2 linked regions of the Arabidopsis thaliana genome follow. Each later gene encodes a partner of the first gene's protein in a complex. Each region holds a gene or a part of one and is shown on either strand. Other genes may lie near its edges. A codon is read from its position in the direction of its gene.

Region 1 (5,796 bases):
CCTTAAATGCGAGAAGTATATTCCAACAACTAATGTAAATGAGAAAACTATAAAAAAAAAATTGAAGATGGACACAAATGAACCAGTACTATTGATTTATTTTTCTGTGTGGTAGAATGTTGAGAGTTGTGGCCTTGTATTGTCCACATGAAAGTACACCTGGTCCTCACACGTTCTTATCTTGCAAGTTCATAATTAACACACATATATACCTTTGAAAATAACTCATTAATTTCGACACCATGCATATAAAATACATGATTAGACCTATATATAATTTTCCCAAAAAATGAAAAATATATATAATCAAGTGAAAAAGCATTACCAAAATTACACATCAAATTAAGATGGTCTCTATCGTGTGACAAAGAAAATGTGGTCTCCATATGTATCCTTGAGAATACTGATGATATATGGATTTGGTTGCATTGGTTCAATCTCATTAAAGTTTCGCATACAATCCATTTATGTGTGCGGGCGCATTTTTTTGTAATCATGTAGGCTGGACCGAGAATTTATATTATTCACTGGTTTACAATTTCATGTGAATTCCATAGTGATCAGTAGATATATATATTGATCAGACAAAGTAGATACACATTGATAAAACACGACAAAATGATGTGATATATAAGACAAAGTGACCCAAAATTCGATTGAAAAATTTGGGGTACGTTGATTTGAAAACTCATGAGAGTTTTTTGGGATAGAAACAAAAGGAGAGAAAAGGGTTAAAGAGGAGGATGTAGACAAGGCAAGGAACAAAAGTAGGGTTTAAGATGTTTTCGCCCCTGAATTTTATTTGATGTAACTTGTCCCTTTATCATCTCCATGTTTTTCTTCTTCTCATTAATTTAAATTTTGGCTTTGGAATTTATGGTGATGTTAATTGTACCCTCTCTTCCTTTGGATTTTGATGCCACTCATGTCCCCTCTCATAGATTTTATTAGGGTAGGAATATGCCTTTTTCCCTCTTTATTTTCATATTTATTGAATTTACGTTGGTTAATTATGGTTAGTACGCTTGGTGTTATTTAAACGTCCCGTATTCACAGTTTACGCCTAACTGATTACTTTGAACTAAAACCAGTGTCTAGTAGATCACTAAAGTCGAATTTTGAACGAAAGTTTGAAAATTCGCAAAAGCGCCGTGAAAATACAATTCCAAAACATATCATTTTTGTTTTTGGAAGCGTGATTGATGAAATAAAAACAAAATATGTTTTGGAAGTGCGACAGAATTTGTTTTTTTGTTTAGAAATGCGATAATATAGACAAATTAATAGAAAATGTAATACAAATTTAGGTGCTTTCATAACTACAAAAAAAAAAAAAAACTACCCTATTGTTGAAAACTTTCATACTACAAGAATAACACAAGCAATATAAAAGAAGAAAAATAATTTTCAATAATCAAAAACAGACATTATATTTTAGTAGTCAATTTAATCTGTAAATATCTGTAAAGAAAATTAATCACCAATTTTATTGTTAACTACAAAGTGGTGTTTATAATATTGCAATTTATAGTTTGTTAACTACAAAGTATAAACATTAAAGAGTAATGATGCGTTTTTATGTGTCTAGATACACATTTCGCTGTACGTGTTTATAGGTGAGTTTTTAATCAATAAATATTGAAGATGTACCGTATGCTTTATTTTGTATTGGCATGAGAATAATTATATACAAGAGGGCTGCGCTTTTATTGTGGGATGAATAATTGAATCATGTGGATGTGATATGCATAATTGGAAGGTTCCGGCGAAGAATCTTACGGGGAAAAATAATCAAAATCATGAATATATATTCATTAGTTAATAATTATATTTAGAAGTCAAAAAGCATAATATAGTTATATTAATAATAATGTACATCTCTATTGTAACACTCTCATATGAGATGTCTGCGACCTCGCCACTCAAAAGAATATATATTTATAAACTATACGTTGATATAGTTTTTAAGACCATATGGTATATACATATATTTAGTTAGATACCCCATATCAATTAATCGGTTCATCACCACTTAATTCACTTGGTTGCTTCGAATGTGTTTCATAATTCACTTGTAATTTTAAAATCTTTCCTTCACTTGTGCTTTCGCTTGTAATCTCAAAATGTTATATATCTCTTTTAACGGGAGAAAAACGATTAAAGACGGATTAAAATATATATCCATTTTGTATAGTCAAATGCAATAATATATACATAATCTACAAGATAAATCATAAGAAAGATTCAATAACAGTAATAGAGTAATAACAGTGATTACTGATTAGTCTAAAAGACTAAAACTCGAGGATGATGACTTAATCAAAGGGCTTAGATTCATCCACGTGTCTAAAACCCGTTTAATCAAAGATCTCTTAAATACGACATACACATGCAGCTACCTCCTAGACAGAGATATAATACAGACTCATCTCACTTTGTATTATTTGAGTGTTTTTATAAAACCATTTTTCCATCTTCCTCATCACCTTCCCAAGAAGAAGAACACCAAAGAAGAAGAAAGGTTAATAATGATGGGCAGTGTCGAGCTGAATCTGAGGGAGACTGAGCTGTGTCTTGGTCTTCCCGGTGGAGATACAGTGGCTCCGGTAACCGGAAACAAGAGAGGGTTCTCAGAGACGGTTGATCTGAAGCTAAATCTGAATAATGAGCCTGCAAACAAGGAAGGATCTACGACTCATGACGTCGTGACTTTTGATTCCAAGGAGAAGAGTGCTTGTCCTAAAGATCCAGCCAAACCTCCGGCCAAGTAATTTTACTATTTTGTCCTTTATGATTTATTTTCCACTCTTCTCTACTGCTCTTAATATTAACATTTTTGTAAAGGTGACTGCAAAAAAAAACAGAAATTTCATTAAAGATATATATTTTTCTTCGCCAAAACCATTTTATCATATGTCTACGGTTTTTTTCTCTTCTTAAATCGTCCAATGTCTTAATATATTTAATTATGTTTAACCCATAGTCTCATGCAAGTAAAATTTATGTGACATCACGTCAAAGCTAACTACAGTCTATATCTTGTATAACATAACCGTTTTTCCGTTTTAAAAAAAATATAGGGCACAAGTTGTGGGATGGCCACCGGTGAGATCATACCGGAAGAACGTGATGGTTTCCTGCCAAAAATCAAGCGGTGGCCCGGAGGCGGCGGCGTTCGTGAAGGTATCAATGGACGGAGCACCGTACTTGAGGAAAATCGATTTGAGGATGTATAAAAGCTACGATGAGCTTTCTAATGCTTTGTCCAACATGTTCAGCTCTTTTACCATGGGTACGTTTTATAAGTATATTCCTTATATATATATGTAGATCCTTCCATGCACATTTAGTTACTAATTAATTGTTACTATAGAAAGAAAAATTAATCATCATGATGATAGATCAGTCCCAAATGAATTACCGTTATCGAGTATACAAATATTTCATAATTGAGTAACCCGTTAGTAGTAGTTTAGAAACTGTGAAAAGAAAACTATGTGATAAAATCCAATTGCGAAAAATGTATATTTCATTTGTTGCACCATAAAAGAAAACCACCAAGTTTAAATTCAGGATATCAAGTTCTTATACCTAAGATTATTTTAGGCAAACATGGAGGAGAAGAAGGAATGATAGACTTCATGAATGAGAGGAAATTGATGGATTTGGTGAATAGCTGGGACTATGTTCCCTCTTATGAAGACAAAGACGGTGATTGGATGCTCGTCGGCGACGTTCCTTGGCCGTACGTCTTCTTCTTCTCCCTTATTAATTACCATTTAATTAGAGCTTTATTGTTTCGGTTAAAATTCGAGCTTTATTTTTGTTTATGTCATTTATTTGTTTCTAATAAATAACCATTTGTTTTAATCTTTTTATTTATTAGAATGTTCGTCGATACATGCAAGCGTTTACGTCTCATGAAAGGATCGGATGCCATTGGTCTCGGTATGTATTTTCTACCAATGCATATTATATTCACATTGATTAAATTTTGATTTCAGTTTGTTACCCATTTAAATTAAAATTTACGTGTATATGTATACAATATAGTTAAAATAGCTTACAAAAGAGATTTGCCCCAAAAAGAAAAAAAAAACTTACAAAAGAGCTTAAAAGTTTACTATAATGTACACCTCAACCGCATAACTTGGTCGCCTAAATAATTTAATATGCTATCGTTTAAGATGATGTCTAATCATCAAACGCTTAAACCGTTCATTATTTTTCGCACAATTATATTTCTACCGTAAAGAACAAATTTGTCGAAAGAAAACTTATCGCTTTGATCTTTTAAATCATTGATATAATACATGATATTTGATTCTCTTTTGTCAAATGCAAAAAAAGAAAGAGATTAAATAACAGAGGGAATAAAAAATATACTCTTTTAACAGAATAAATACCGTGGTCAAATGTCTTTGCTTATTAATTGTAAAAATATTTCAGCTCCGAGGGCGATGGAGAAGTGCAAGAGCAGAGCTTGAAGTCAAATTAAAAGGATAAGTGGTATCGATTATATATTTGATTAACACATTGATTGGTGTTAATTGCTCTTTTTTTTCTTACGATGAAATACATTGTTCAGTTTCTTTTGATTGTCTGTGTTTTGATCTGGATTTGGTATGTAGATATAGTTTGTATGCTATTATGTGTAATGAACTTAAGTTAAATATTTGAGACATTTGTAATGGAAAATGTGTAATAATTTGAACATCCTATTCCTATGTATATGTTTGTCTTTATTTATTTATTTTGCCAAAGATGTGTATATTCGTATAAGGAATATGTGATTTTTATTCCACTATGGAAAATTTAATCTCACATTACTTCTCTTTAATTTCAGTCTCTTAATAGTCAGTTATTTTCTAAAGGCAGAACAGTATTCTTTTGGTTCGTCTTGAAAGTGAAACTAAAGATCATAGCGATCGAGTATTTGACCCTAAAGTAAACTTTCCCCAAGTATAATTTCGAAGTCGGTATAATTAGAATTACAATATTACAATATACATATGTTATATCAGATGAATATAATTACAAAAATGGGGAAAATTCACTTTGTTGGTATATTGATTTGTTGGTACTTAAAGTGATAATTGGCTTTGGTTGGAGGAAATAAAATAGAGAAATAGGACCCATAGGGAAGAGAGGGAGCAATGCCATGTGCATATTCATGGGTCTCTTCATTTCATTACCTTTGTTTATCATTTAATTTCCCATTAAATTAATTAGGAATATTAACTTTTATACCAACTAAATTTATTAACAAGGTTATCATAATTATACACAAATATCCTCTCTATAATGAAAAATGAAAAACCACTAGAAATATGGAATTACGTTGTATCCTTTATCACTTTCAGAAATGAGCTACAAGTAATTTATTATTGTCAAGAGATTGCACATGTGTAAAACTTGAAGGTAAAAGACATATATATGCAATAAAATATAGATATATATATATATATATATCGATGACATAATAGATATAGTATAATAACATATAGGGCCCTTTTGGATTAATGGTGTTTACTGGTTATAATGGAGCTATTCTAAGCAGTCCTTATTTAATTTGATGTTTAACGTTAAAAAAAAGTTTAAGAATAAAATATATAGATAAAATAAAGAAAACTGAGAATGTAAATATTGATAAATGGGGAAGCACATGGAGAAGATGTTGAATCCCAAAACGAACAAATCGAAGTTTTAGGAAAGTATCGTTCCAACGTACATGCATGCATATATATAGAAAATATGTGTACTAATGTATGTGTAAACACAAACATTGTACAATTA
Region 2 (7,971 bases), 5.8 Mb from region 1:
TTTTTGACTTGGGCCTTTTCTTAAACTCCAATCTGCAGCCCTTCGGTTCCAGCTGATGTTGAGGACTCACATCATGATGATCAGCAAACCATTGTCATACCCATCCTACCTGTAGAAGATGATGACATAGCGATGGATTCAGCATCTGATTTCCCAACCCAATCTGGCGTGGATGTGGGAACAGAGCCATCAATAACCGATGAGAACACATCAACTTCTTCAACCCTCCCTGCAGGGCCAGATATAATGGCTGCGTTATCTGCAATCTCAAACAGCAAAGAACAAGGCAGTATGATCGACCAAGATCTGCTTATTAAAATCCTAAGCAACCCTAAGTTGGTCGAGAATCTTGTTGCAAATCGTGGCAGTGCAGGTTCAGTCTCCTCCAACACAAGTAGCCTCTACTCATCTTCAACACATGAAGCCAACGGAGTAGTAACCACGGCACCTATTTCCTCAAATGGACAATTTTACGCTCAGCCACCCATAACTCATATTCCTCCCATGGCGTATACTCCTCACGCTCCTCAAGACCAACCGAACTATGGAGCACCGCCAGCAAGAGATGCTAGTTATTACAAGAACCTGATTCAGCAACATGGCGGGGATAGACAAGAGACGCCGCCAGTTCAACATCTCGGTTATCGATACAACCTCCAACCTGGAGGAGGACCTAACCCGGAGATGGTAAATAGCAGTAATAATAACCAGAGGCCAAGGGATTCAAAACCCAAGATAATGAAGGCTTGCATGTACTTCAACAGCGCAAGGGGTTGTCGCCATGGAGCTAATTGTATGTACCAGCACGATGCTACACCCTACCAGCCGAGGAATCTAAACAATGGTAATATCAACACTTCTGATATGCAGAATGCAAAAAGAATGAGATTTGACAGAGACTGATGCAGAATTAGCATACCACACATGCTCTCTGCCTCTTGCTGTTAGCAGCAGAGCAATTTTTCTATTTTCTCTTGCCTGGCTTTACTGCAATATAAGTTTTATATACATTTGAAATTATTTCTTGGTTTTATGCCACAAATGTAGAATTAATTAGCGAGTATTATTTGGCTCACCATCACAGTAGTACTTATACTATCCCTAGTGTTTTTAAGATGATTTTCTACACTTTTATCTTTAACATTGTGCAGAAAAAAGAGTAAAATAATCACAAGATTTCTAAGACTGTCTCAACTACTGATTCATTCATCACTCTACTACATAATATGAATATAGTTTCAGGTCTCAAATCGGAACAACACATCAAATGCTTACAACAAGATGGTTTCTCCTCTACCAGTTGGAGAAAAGAACATTTCTTACTCTCTTTTTTTTCTTACAAATCAGCATGAGATCATTTTTATATTGTTACATTTATGAAACAGAAGTCTTAAGATCGTTAATGCCTGCGCTGTTCAAAAGCTTCATCCCTTCTTCACTCATCTGCTGGACCTCAGTTGGCGACAATATCCTTATGCACCTTACGCATCCCACAAACTCTCTGCACCAGTTTATGTAGTTATGTAAGGAAAACTATTGTAAGACTGATAGTCAGATGAAGTTAATGGATTCACAGAACAGTGAGAGAGAGACTTACTCCCATGGATCATCTCCTACAAGCAGAACATCACTCTCATAATCAACATATACAAGCTTCCAACCCGAGCTTTGTGGGTGAGTTAGTAGTCCTTCCAATCCAAACATGCATTCGATAGCAGATTTTAGCTCCTCGTAGTCTTTAAAGCTTGTGACATCAATTGATCTCCCGACTGACCCGGTTTTTTGAACCTGCCAAGTCAAAACATTACCCAAACCCCAAAGTTTCATGTCAGATTGTGACACAAGAAATTTGTGGAATGAATGAGAGATAATCTTTTTACCTTAGTGTAGGTTCGGACGCGGGGTGTCGCAATTTTCTGCCATGATGAGCCTTTACTATTTTGCCGCAGACTACAATCATCAAAATCAACATTGCTTGAAGATGTACCAGTGCCTCCAGAATTATCTGGAAAATCTTGGCGAGAGAAGGCCTGTGAGTCTGCAAAGCTAGCTGATGTGATCTGCGACTGGACATCTTGAGCAAAGCTAGTGTTGTTGTTTCCAACCAAACAACCAGAAGGGTGGTTCTGGAAATCAGTGTCTTTGATGGCACAGAAGTCATCAAGGACTGTGTTTGAGAGTGGAGGATCTAGAATGTTACTGGTTGTGCTATTACTCATACAGATATTCTGACTAGCATAAAGGTCCTGCTGCATCAAGGGACTGAACTGGTCAAACTTGAGACCGTTCAACTGAGTGTCCCACACATCATGAAACAGCGGTGAGTTTGTGGAATCCGGTAACACAACAGCTGAAGAATCCTGGGAGGATAGAATGAATGGTTGCTTGTATGATCCGGCAAGAGACTGGAAGGAAGAGACTTGTGATGTCAGCTCATCAGTTTCCAGGAAAGAGAATCCATTTATTGGATCAGACTGTGGTTGGTAAATCTGATGAGTAATGTCAAGACATTGATCAGCTTGTACAGGCGACGAAGCACCCGGTTTCTGAAGTAGCTGATTAACCTTTTCCTCATTACACACTGTGGATGTAGTAACCTGGCTTGCCTGTTCCATTGACTGCTCAAGTCCATGTTGGACTCTACCAGAGCTGCAACCAGAGAGTGTAGAGTTCTCAGGTTTAGCAGGAGCACTCATACTCTGTGAAAGATTCTGTTCTTGGCCACTCGTATTAGAAGCAGATGGGTTCACTGTTAGCTTGTTTTGTGGCTGCACCATCTCAGATTTCTGGTTCATCATCAGGGGTTGCTGCATCTTCATATCTCCTAGCAAACCTCCATTCCCCATTACAATATTCTGCTGCATCTCAGACATGAAAGATGGTACATTTTGGTTGTTGTGAGGCCTCATCATCATTTTCATAAGCTGCTCCGAAGCCATACTAGGGAAAGATGCATATGGCATAATCCCATTCGCGGAATCAGGAACACGTATAAGTGGCCGTTTTATCAAGCTACCCCATTCAGTTTCACCAGCTGCATATTTCATAACAAAACTTTAAGGCAGCAAATCTCATGTAAAGTTCACAACAAGGCACACTTATATTTTACTCACCAAAGTAAGATGGATGGAGCTGACGTTTGAGTCCTGAGGTCAGAGAAGGAAAAATGAAGAGACTTTCAGGTGTTTCGATATCCCATGGACTGACCCGAGTAGGTTTATCATTACATCCAGGCTCATCCCATTCTACCTGAAGGTTACGCCACTTAGAACCAGGCCATCTCAACGGATCCAAATCGCTGATTCCAACAATAGTTCCCATGTACCTAAATACACAACCAAAACGTGTATAAGTGAACAACCAAATTTGATAAACAAAAACAGAAAGATTGCAGTTTACGGATAACTTACCTTCGTTTCCCGGAATCTTCAGTTTCAAACATCATTCCAAATCTCATACCAACTGAGAGCTGAGACCCGCATATCGCCTTACGGTACTTAGCTAGAGGGATCACGAACTCTGCTGGACAAGCTCTGAGAACAAACACCATAAGTTACGTTACAACTAAGAAAATAGTTTTATATCATTGAGGATTGAAGAAGCTTTTGAGCTAACCTTGGATTATAGAATATCAAAAAAGGAGTACGGTTGGCGGTTGCGTGAGCAGCAGCAGCAAGAACACCGATGTGCATACTATCCGCTGAGAGAACTGATGAAGGAAGTGCTGTTTGTTGGCGATTGGCACGCCTAACACCGACCATAAGTTGTGACTTCTCATCCCTTTTGGCACATTTTCAAAGGACAAATGACAGTCAGAAGATAAGCAACACCAAAATGAGTCAGAGCCAAAATATCTCAATAGCCAAGGTTTTTCACCTGATGAACAAAACAGAATCCCCAGCTCTCAATCTCTTCGATCCAACGAACAAACTCCATCCTGTAGTTAGGAGATGTCTCTTTGGTTGCCCTGAGAATGTAAGCAGGAACTGAGCTCAATACCAACTCAATCTAAACAGAGAAAGAGACAAATCTAGTGGTTATACCTCGGTAGATATGGCGAAATGTCCAAGTATTCTCATGAAGATCTCGAACTACAAGCTCTTGCGTTGGCGGCTGTGCTGAGTAGTCCTGCAATGTATTTAACATAACATTAGCAGGCTAGCAGCAGTTAAAGCAATAGGAACATATGAGGAAAAGAGAAGCTCACCAATGGTGGAAATAGCTTCTCTGCAGCTCTACGTGGCACTGAGAAACCTCCATGTGTGCTTGTGTCACTTGCAGTAAGTGTTTTGCAGAAAAACTCAGTCGGGTGCTTACTTCCTCTCAGCATTCCAAAGTCTGGTACAGGGAACACATCTCTCTCCTGATGCACACAAACCATTCAAACTCATTCAACTTCAACATGAGTTCTTAAATGAAACAAAAGGAAGTTGCAAGAATCCAAAACTTACAGAGTGAACAGGTTGAAGACTCATCTGAGCATAGATTTCGTCACTGTCTTTGTCAGCCTATCAAAGGGGAACAAAACCATTGTCAAGAAATATCAAACTTGGTTGCAATTTGTTTGGATACGAAGCAAATGAGAAAGATTGGCGTACATGAAGAGTAACATTATGGACTTGACACATCAACTGAGATGGAAGGTTCGGATAATTAGGAACTTGTGTTGTTGCTGATCTTCTGGTTGAAACAGCAACCTAATAAGTCAAAAAGTGAACAAAAAAAATCAAACCTTTTGAACAGGAGCTAACAAGATCTAGAGAAGTACAATGTGTTTGTTTGTTCTTTAAGACACACAAAGTTACCTGCTCGCTATGACCTTGTGAGAAGTAATACACTAAGCTCCCAACTTGAGGGAGACACACCAAAGGGCCTGCACAAGCGTGCCATAGCTCCGAGTTTATTACCGGCTTTCTTGTACCTGAAAAATGTTCAAAATCGCATTTTTAGGGGAAAGTAACAAAATTTCTAAATGTCATTAGCATAAATTATGAAACCTTTTGTTATCACAGTTTATTCTTAAAAAGGTAACTTTTTTAATAAAAATCTTGAGAAAGAAGAAGATGAAAACCTGACTGGTCTTTCAACAGCTTCATCTCTTCAAGCAAGGTAGATTGAGATGTTGTTGTTGTTATAGTTCCTCCACCATTAACCAAACAACTTGTTTTCATCTTGTCTTCAACACAAGACAATGAAGCCATCATACAGAGAGATTTTTCAATGTTCTGTTTTGTCTCTCCCACACTCAACACTAACTAGGCTTTAGCAAGACTCAAGAGTTTTTCTTTTTCTTTACTAAGTCTTCATTTTATTTTATTTAATACAAGAAGAGACAAAAAGAGCTCTATTGAGCAAAGAGGCTACAAGAAGATAAATCCAGGACAAACCAGAGGAATTAAAGACAAAGCCATTTCATGGAATCTGTTTTTTTTTGGTTAAAGAAGACTCCAAAATCGAAGGACAAAACCCTTACACATGACAAAAACAGAGTGGGAGAGATTAAAGAACATACAAAATAGGGACTACACAGACAAGCATGTCTCTCTTGTGGGGCTCTTGCCTCTTCTCTTTCTCTCTCTCCACTCTTCTTTTCTCAGACCAAATTCGACCCTTCAATGAAGAAGAGAAACCAAAGGTGCCATCATGAAACCACACAGTTTCTTTCTTTGGTTCCGGATGCAAACAAGAACAAGAAGCAATTGAGAGAGAGACAAAAGCTTTTAAGAAAAAAAAAACTTTTGCTTTCTTTTAATTATTTCTCTGAAAAATCCCACATTTTTTCTTCTTCTCTCTCTAATGTATATGAGTATTAGTATAAATGTGTATGTATAGGTTTTATTTTGCTTGGAAATGGGAAAGAGTGTGCATGCTCTTATCCTGCGCTTAAAACTTTCTGTATATGGCGATGCCGTTGCAGCTTTAGACTCTTTAAACGAATAATATTATATTTTATTGTTTCCCATTAATTATAAAATAAAGTTTTGGTATTTCAATAGATACATCTATATTATTATTTAATGTTTTAGAACAGTTTACGTCAAAAATTTAATAAAGTAGAGTAAGCACACGTAATCTCTGATACGCACAGAAACGTAGTTGAATGTACAAGTACTTTCAATGCTTATGTTATAAGGCAGATAATAAAGCTTAAAATAAGTACCATGAGTGAATATTATTTTAAAAAGTGTCCTACTTTTTCAAGAACTTTGTAAAATATAAAATGTTTTTTGATTATGGCAATAAATTAAAATTGATTAAGAACTTTATGACAAAGGAGGAGGCTTCTTTTTTCGTTGCAATAATATATACTTTTCTCAAAATGTTAATCTTTTCTTGCTGAGATTTCGTAAAAGGGATGTGAGTGGTGAGACTTTGGGAGATCTCTAATACAAGGTGCGTATGATAGGAGAGAATGTCAAAATAGCGTATATTAGCACGAAGCCTAAAGAGGTTACGGGAGGAAGTGTATCTTCCAATCTTTTTTGCCCGGGTGTTCTTTTCCTTTCCAAGTTAAGGACTTCAAAAATGTTTTCTTTCTTTGGTTAGAAAAAGTTATTTTGATATTTGCAAGATTTGGTATAGAGATTAAAAAAGATTTAAGTATGGTTTAGTTAAAACTTAAAAGTTATAAGGTGGTATTGTTTATATATACTTAAGAGTTAAGACCACCTCCAAATAAATTGAAAGGACTGTTGTTTGTGGTTCTTGCATTTGTATTGAAATTGAGCTTTGTAAAATATATTTGTATCTACAACAACCAAAAGAAAGGAATATCTTGGTTCTCTGCACCTGTAAACATAGCTTGTTCTGCTCATTATTAATATCTAATACTCTAAACCACATGTGTAATTATGTCTAATTGTGTATAGTGTGTACCATTACATCTTTAGACCTTTTTAGTTACATACATTTTTTTTTTTTACGCACACATCTCTAGTTTGACCTTTCCATTGTTTTCTTGCGACGAAATAATTGACATGCGGTCATTGTATTATATTGTATGATATGAAACCATATCACTTTCCATATCATTACTTATCAATCATACGTAAATAAAAATCGCTTTCCTTCATGTAATATTACTCATAAACAAAATACAAATGAGCATAGTTAAGTTATATATAGGATTAGTACACAATCCACATTATCACATATTAGAGAAAAATAATCAAACATATTATAATTTATAAGTGGATATATAGTAGCATCATTATGATAGAATATCTATATAAACATAACTACTTATTCGGATACGCGTTTGTCACTAAGATATATTTGAATCAAAGGATCTCCAATCAAGTATATAATGTGTGGAATTTGCTGTTGGCAGCACATTTTAATATACAGTTCAAATTTAGCAAGGAGTGAAACATGCTTTTGATGATAATGGAAAAACTCTCATTTCCGGTGCCAAGATTGTGTGCCATCAGCAAAATCTTTGGAACAAATAGTCATTACGTATAACGAGGAATAACATCCCACGATGAGGTTTACTAGATATAATTTTATCATTCTTATCAATTGTTTTCTCTTGTATCGTTTTTTTTTTTCTCTACTGTATATCATTTGTGACAATGCCTTCAATAATCCTAAATTCATAAAAATAAAAACTCTTACCATACCAAATTTTAACCACATGCAAAGAAAAGGATACCAATCAAAATCAAGTGTATGCAGATTATCAATCCGAATCCTTCCTAAACGTTAGTTTGTCTTATGTAGATTGGAAACTTGTAAAAAAACAAGAATAAGAAATGAAGAAAGAAAAAAAGAAAGTGAAAAGCATTATTTGGTGCTTTTGCGTCTGAAAATTTTGACCGCTAGGCACGCGTGAAGTGGACGGCAAATCAATGGTTGAGTAAGAGAGGAAGAGGAGGCGTACATTAGCATACTCGACACGTGTATTTTAATGTTATTTTGAAAATGATTTTTGGACCGACACGGCGCCGTTTCTGCGCTTCACAGTTCACA

What was found. Proteins that work in one complex are often made in the same cells at the same time.
Region 2: the proteins of AXR3 (region 1) and MP are in contact, whole or in part, in a crystal structure (PDB 6L5K), measured with the Arabidopsis thaliana proteins. Residues at the interface, in NP_171921.1 of Arabidopsis thaliana: Phe112 (codon at 3,175), Lys114 (codon at 3,181), Gly119 (codon at 3,196), Ala120 (codon at 3,199), Pro121 (codon at 3,202), Tyr122 (codon at 3,205), Leu123 (codon at 3,208), Arg124 (codon at 3,211), Lys125 (codon at 3,214), Phe148 (codon at 3,283), Arg205 (codon at 3,909); in NP_173414.1 of Arabidopsis thaliana: Lys842 (codon at 1,656), Val844 (codon at 1,650), Asp847 (codon at 1,641), Glu849 (codon at 1,635), Asp851 (codon at 1,629), Val852 (codon at 1,626), Leu853 (codon at 1,623), Leu854 (codon at 1,620), Asp857 (codon at 1,611), Asp858 (codon at 1,608), Pro859 (codon at 1,605), Val878 (codon at 1,452), Met881 (codon at 1,443), Ser882 (codon at 1,440), Glu883 (codon at 1,437).

What each region holds. Positions count from the first base shown.
Region 1 is NC_003070.9:1,133,854-1,139,649, forward strand, and holds AXR3 (AUX/IAA transcriptional regulator family protein), read left to right. Parts: upstream 1-2,224; 5' UTR 2,225-2,528; coding exon 2,529-2,767; intron 2,768-3,080; coding exon 3,081-3,292; intron 3,293-3,606; coding exon 3,607-3,745; intron 3,746-3,886; coding exon 3,887-3,948; intron 3,949-4,449; coding exon 4,450-4,487; 3' UTR 4,488-4,810; downstream 4,811-5,796. UniProt on the Arabidopsis thaliana protein: Aux/IAA proteins are short-lived transcriptional factors that function as repressors of early auxin response genes at low auxin concentrations.
Region 2 is NC_003070.9:6,884,586-6,892,556, reverse strand, and holds MP (Transcriptional factor B3 family protein / auxin-responsive factor AUX/IAA-like protein), read right to left. Parts: upstream 5,889-7,971; 5' UTR 5,205-5,888; coding exon 5,072-5,204; intron 4,922-5,071; coding exon 4,806-4,921; intron 4,698-4,805; coding exon 4,599-4,697; intron 4,509-4,598; coding exon 4,452-4,508; intron 4,364-4,451; coding exon 4,208-4,363; intron 4,129-4,207; coding exon 4,044-4,128; intron 3,968-4,043; coding exon 3,877-3,967; intron 3,781-3,876; coding exon 3,616-3,780; intron 3,534-3,615; coding exon 3,411-3,533; intron 3,326-3,410; coding exon 3,114-3,325; intron 3,035-3,113; coding exon 1,881-3,034; intron 1,789-1,880; coding exon 1,598-1,788; intron 1,502-1,597; coding exon 1,375-1,501; 3' UTR 1,153-1,374; downstream 1-1,152. Other genes in the region: AT1G19860 (Zinc finger C-x8-C-x5-C-x3-H type family protein), read left to right, coding at 39-903. UniProt on the Arabidopsis thaliana protein: Auxin response factors (ARFs) are transcriptional factors that bind specifically to the DNA sequence 5'-TGTCTC-3' found in the auxin-responsive promoter elements (AuxREs). Seems to act as transcriptional activator.